Danio rerio: one gene and its partner. The protein of the gene in region 2 purifies or fractionates together with the protein of the main gene of each other region. This does not show direct contact. Links are inferred from orthologs where the notes say so. Each region holds a gene or a part of one and is shown on either strand. Other genes may lie near its edges.

Region 1 (2,586 bases), about 3.1 Mb from region 2:
TTGAATAGAGGCTGGAGGGCCTGCATCATAACAGAGTAAGAGTATATTGAATTCAGTTATTTTAATAGTAAAGGTCAAGGAGGCATTTACACAAAACAGTCCAAGTACATTGTCATGCATATGTAAACAGCATATAATATGCAACGATAAACCTTTCAAGATGATTTTTTTTTCTTATTTTGCATTTAAGTTATGCTTAAAATGTAACATCCCAAATCAAACAAGGGATGTTAAAATTCAGTCAATATTGCTTCCAACCTTTTCATTTGGAAATAAAGGTCAAAATAAATAAACTGCTCTGTATGAAACAATACAAAATGTTGCACTAGTTAATGTGGGTACATAAACAGTGATCTGATTGCAAACAGGAATAACAGTGTTTCCAAGATAGTAATTAACAGTATGGTGTTATTGCTCTTTAGGTTGGAAGCACATTACTTCTACCCCTTCAAGTAAAATGCTGTTAGTCTTGGATGACAAAGAACCCACATAGGAAAATCAACGGTCAAGCACTTCTGGAAGAGATTTTAATGCATTGCTATAAAATGCAGCATATTAGATTCACAAGATAAGCATTAAGGTATACAATAACATTCAAATGTTAATGATCAGTGAAATACTGTTAGAAATAACAGAAATGTAAAAATAATACTTTAAATGTATTTTAAAATGTAATTTATTAATGTGGTGAGTTTTATAGAAACCTTTTTAATATGCTGATTTGGCTCTTAAGAAACAATGATGAATGCTGAAACAGTTGCACTGCTTACTATTGTTGCGAACACTGTGATACTTTTTTTCAGGACAAATAGGACAGCTAAACTTTGATAAGAAATCTTTTGTAACATTATATTGTACATCATCATTGTCCTTGCCTGTTAAAAGCAAAAATAAAACAAATTAATAATTAAAAATCTGACTGGTATTGTTGTTAAAGGGATTGTTAGCTGATTTAAATGTGCTATTATTTGCTCATTCTCTGGTCATTAAAGATGAACTTATTTTCCATTAGAACATTAAAGGTTCGTGAACCTCTGGACTAAATGCACAGATTTGTGTGTCTTGAACATTTAAGACAACATTAGCATCTGTTAGCTTTAATTGTAGGGAATAACTAGCTACATTTCAGCTTTCCCTCATATTTTCATCTTCTGTGTTTGAAATTTATATTGTGCCTGTGTCATTTCTGGTGATTTAGCATAGGACATACTCAAGTACACTGTATGATGACATTAGACTAAGTTTTGTTATCCTGTGAGAAGAATTGTTAGGTCAAGTTCCAAGACCAAACAGACAGTAATTAGGCATTCATGTTGTCAGTTGTGGCAAACTCTTTGAGCATGTACTAAATTTAAAAATATGTACTGATTACAGCATTTCCCACTTGCATTTTGAGCGCTGCTGAGTGGATTGTTGAACACTGCTGATTGATTGATATGACTCTAAAGTGATGGGCTCTATTGATCACAGGTTTACAAGAGATGCAGGCAGACAGTAGAGTATTTGAAAGCCACGTCTATCAGCAGATCAGTCAGTAAATTGACACGGCATTCAAACACTGAGACCCAACTTTCAAACACTCAAGTGGCCAAGGACACTTCTGTCCCTTCAAATCTGCTTAATGTCTGTCTAAATGTTAAAATAAGTATTCTTTAAATATAAAAATTTAGCATTTCCTCACGAGTCAGAGTCAATATGGGCCACTGGCAGATGACGGTTACCCTCTCCTCTTTCTCCCCTGCTTTGCTCCACCACACCCACTCCCCAACCTTCTGCTCACAGCTTTCCATGCACACTTAAGTTGTATTTTAACAAAAAATCTCTGAGGTAGACTTCGCCTAAAGGTTTTCTTTACTCTTTAAAGAAGATTATTACCTGAAACTCTGGTGATTGGCGTTTTATGAACTGTGAACATGCTCAGGGCTGTTTGTTAAGGCTGCAGTGTACAGGTAATGTTGTAAATATTGTTCAGTTTCTTGACCATTTCACTTTATATTACCTCAATGTATCATCAGAACCCACACATATTAATTTTGTTTTGCCTATATATGCTTCTTGACTCTCCAAACTGCTGATATCCTTTAACCAGATTTCTTTTTTGAATAAACAATGTTTTAAATGCAAATCAAACATCAAAGACATCTTTAAAAAAATAAAAAAAAACTGTAAGAAAACCTACAAAGTTAGTTTATGCTTCTATTCGAGGCCTGACAGCACAGTATTGTCTTCTGACCTTTTTTTAAAGGCTCTGAGAAGCATCCAATCGATTTTGTCTTGACAACCCAAGTTTTAATAGTTTAGTTCTTTAGAAGAAGACACCCAGTCAATCACTTATGGTGCTCCTGATTGGAGCTATGTTTAACTCACTCAGTGTCTATACTATCGATTAGCTCAGGTTTGATAAGACACACACACGAAGGTCCAGCAATATGCTTTGGCAGATTTGGACCCAAAGTCCACTGTTCCTTGTCTGGATCAAACACTTGAGTGCCCTGTGAAAAGTCCATGGTCTCCCAGCTATAACCTCCCAAAACATAGATCTTTCTATTCAGCACTGCTAAACCGGCCTCACTGCTAGCATACCTG
Region 2 (3,500 bases):
GTTGTCTAAGCCTAGGCGTGGGTAATCGTTTTCCATCACGCCCTGGATAATGTTGGTCATTTGCTGGTAGTCCTCAGGGCTAACCTGACTGAAGTTAATATGGTGTGGGATCAAGCCTGGATTGATCTCTTTGCCAAGGAAACCAATGATCTTCTTTGTGTTCCTAAAACACATTACAACAAGAAAATCAACTGTAAGGTCGCTGGCTCTATATTGAGTTTTATAACGTTTATGGAGTGTTTTCACTTACATTTCCACACATTTGGCATTCATGATGTTGGCTTTGAAGCCCAGCACAGCAAACACGACTAGAGTGGCCAACACGGAGGTGAAGAAGTTAATGAAGGAAACCAGCACTGCATCGAAGTGGCAGTTGTTGTCCCGTTTGTTGTAGCTGGAGAAGGCGATAACACCACCGAAACCGAGTCCCAGAGCAAAAAAGACCTGCGTCGCAGCTTCACGCCACACTTTAGGCTCTAGCATGATTTCCAGCTGTGAGAAGATATTGAAGTTGATATTGTAGTATTAGTTTTCACATGCTGAGTGTAGGAAACTAATTATTAGCCCTCCTGTTTTTTTTTTCAAATGATGTTTAGCAGAGTAAGGATTTTTTCACAGTATTTCCTCTAATATTTTTTCTTCTGGAGAAAGTCTTATTTGTTTTTTTTCCAGCCAGGATAAAAACAGTTATTTATTTTTTTTCAATACTATTTTAAGGTCAATATGATTTGCCCTCTTAAGCAATATTTTTCAAATGTCTACAGAACAAACCTTCATTATGCAATCACTTGCCTAATTCACCTAGTTAAGCATTTAAATGTCACTTTAAGCTGTATACTAGTTTCTTGAAAAATTTCTAGTAAAATATTATCTACTGTAATCATGACAAAGATAAAAGAAATCAGTTATTAAATCTATTGATGAAGAAATTAGGGAAAAATATACAGCGGGGGCTAATAATTCAGGGGGGCTAATAATCCTGACTTCAACTGTATATTGAAAATTTGGTACATGTACATATGGAAATATGGAACATATCTGGAAATATATTAAACTGTGAAGTAGATTTTTCAGTAGTGGATGACTGCCTCTTTCACTCCTGCTGACTAATAATTACAATCAAAATTAAAATTTTAGTTTGAATGTAAATAAAATCAGATAAATCTTTTTTTTCCACAATGATGCCTCTTGTAAATTGTACTATTATCTCTTGGGGGAAACCTATGTCATTTCTGGTGAAAAAAGTCCAAATTTGCCTGGGGTATAAAAAATGTCAGGCTTGACTGTAGATAAAATACTTTTTTAGACATTGGCTTAAACTACATATTTTAAAGAACATATTTACACAGAAATGTGTAGCTCTATAAAAAGATTAAGTGACCACATCAATGATATTATCAGTTATGTGGATTTGCCATTGAAATGCATATGTTTTGAGTAAAATGTATATAAAAAACTCAACAATAAAAATATTTACAAAAATAATAATAATTTTAATAATTAACTGTCGAAAACGACGATAGGTCAATATAAAATTGCTTTTAGACTTATTTATATAGTATATAATGGGGAAGAATTTATATTTGTACATTTTACATGGTTGACACACTAAGACTTTTTGGAATATAAAAAACGTTTTGAGATGTTTAGAAAGTACAAAAACTAAGTTAAAAAAAGGAGGCGTGGCACTCAACCCCATCCCTAAACCCAACGGTCATTGGGTGATGAGCAAATCGTATTAAATTGTACGAATTAGATCGTATGAATTCATATGAGTTAGCCACTAAATCAAAAAGTTACGAATTGCTGTGAGATTGTGTTGGTTGGACTCAGGGCTGCACAATATTGGAAAAAATCAGACATTGTGATATTTTGTTTTGCTGCGATACATATTACGAGAACGATATGAATATAATTTCACCAGATGATTTCAGTAGCTATATTTGAAAAGATTTCATTCATTTGCTTCAACTAGGATGATCAAGTCTTTTTCTATGCAGTGCATCTGCATAAGATTTAAAACATTACAAGTATATATAACTACAACAAAGCAAAAAATAAAAGTTATATAAACTTTTAGATAAGCTTTGTGGTTTTCTGGAGAGTCAAACTGTATTTAAGTACAGCAACCAAATGTAAAATAACAGTAATCATTGTATAAATCATTTTCAAATAATAATATCTTTATCTTTTTATCTTTAATAAATAATTAATCCTGCGATGTAACTATTGCTGATATACAAATTGCAATATCCATGCTCAGATGATATATTATGCAGCTCAGAGTTTTTAAATGCATCTTTAAGAATCCCTTATCTAATGAGCACCGACACATTAATTACTCCTGAAGCACTTTTTGTTTGATTCTGGATTTTATAAAGAATATATGAAGAGTTTAGATGCAAAAACCTCTAAATGCCATTTGATACTTTCTTCTAAAATTAGTATTTTTCTCGGACCATTGTGGGTGGGCTCAGAAATTTTACTTTTATAATCATGAATAAGTTCATTTCATTGCCTTCAAAGTGAAATACTTCAATATAAACATAGGAGGCTGAGAAAAGGGCTCATTTTAGCAGAAAACTTCAGATGGCATTTAGAGGTTTTTGTATCTGAACTCTGAGAAAAACAAACAGGTTTGGAACATACAAAGTGCTAAAAAGCCTAAATATACATCTTTTTATATTCTGTCTATGGTTATAAATCATCGAATTACTAAAATGACTGTTTTTTTTTTCCTTATTTAACAATGCAATAATTGTAATGGCTCTGCAGTTACCATTATGGATGATGTGGTAGCAGTACTATTTTTTAAAAGCAGAGGCTACATACTATCATTTAATTATGCGAAGCACAAACCACCCACTGATAAGACTCTTTAGTAACACAACAAGGGGTACATTGACAGCCCGAGCACTGAGAAACATGACCACGTCTTGTTTCTGCATGTTGCATGTTTATTATGTACAATAACGGCCACAACAAGACAGTCAACTGCGTTCAGGCTTTGCTAAGAAAAGAGTTAATTCACTTCTGTTGAATCACGTCACAAATGCATGCTGGCATATCTGGCGGGTATATTGTTTCCATAGATACACCTACTAGTCTCCACTGGACCGAGACGAAGAATACACATGGGAATTAGTAATGGGTGATTATGATCATTTTGAATGAATTGGATTAATTGCTGATGTATGAAGCAGAGCATGTCAGGTAAATTGGTCTAATCATTGTGGCAGCATGTCATCTGCTCTGCATTGTGTCTTACCTTGGGGGTAAACATGTGGATGATGCCGTCCACAGAACCCTTAAGCAGGAAAGCACGAGCCAGGAAACAAATAAGCACCACGTAAGGGAACAGAGAGCTGAAGTACATCACCTGCAATCACACATGACCAAAACAATTAGTAAATAATGTAAACGTATAATGTTATAATTGATAAAAAAATAACATTTTGATCTCTATTCTCCATGCTAGCGTTTTTTAAACCGTATTACAC

The links.
Region 1: the proteins of slc6a15 (region 2) and klhl36 purify together in Homo sapiens (co-immunoprecipitation; 3 studies listed by BioGRID and IntAct, counting the BioPlex papers as one, with this or other methods). This does not show direct contact. The link is inferred for Danio rerio from reciprocal best matches to the Homo sapiens genes SLC6A15 and KLHL36.

What each region holds. Positions count from the first base shown.
Region 1 is NC_133193.1:14,461,764-14,464,349, forward strand, and holds the end of klhl36 (kelch-like protein 36), read right to left. Parts: coding exon 2,364-2,586; 3' UTR 501-2,363; downstream 1-500. Other genes in the region: zgc:56622 (uncharacterized protein), read left to right, coding at 1-35, 423-456.
Region 2 is NC_133193.1:17,538,591-17,542,090, forward strand, and holds part of slc6a15 (sodium-dependent neutral amino acid transporter B(0)AT2), read right to left. Parts: intron 3,380-3,500; coding exon 3,269-3,379; intron 493-3,268; coding exon 251-492; intron 164-250; coding exon 1-163.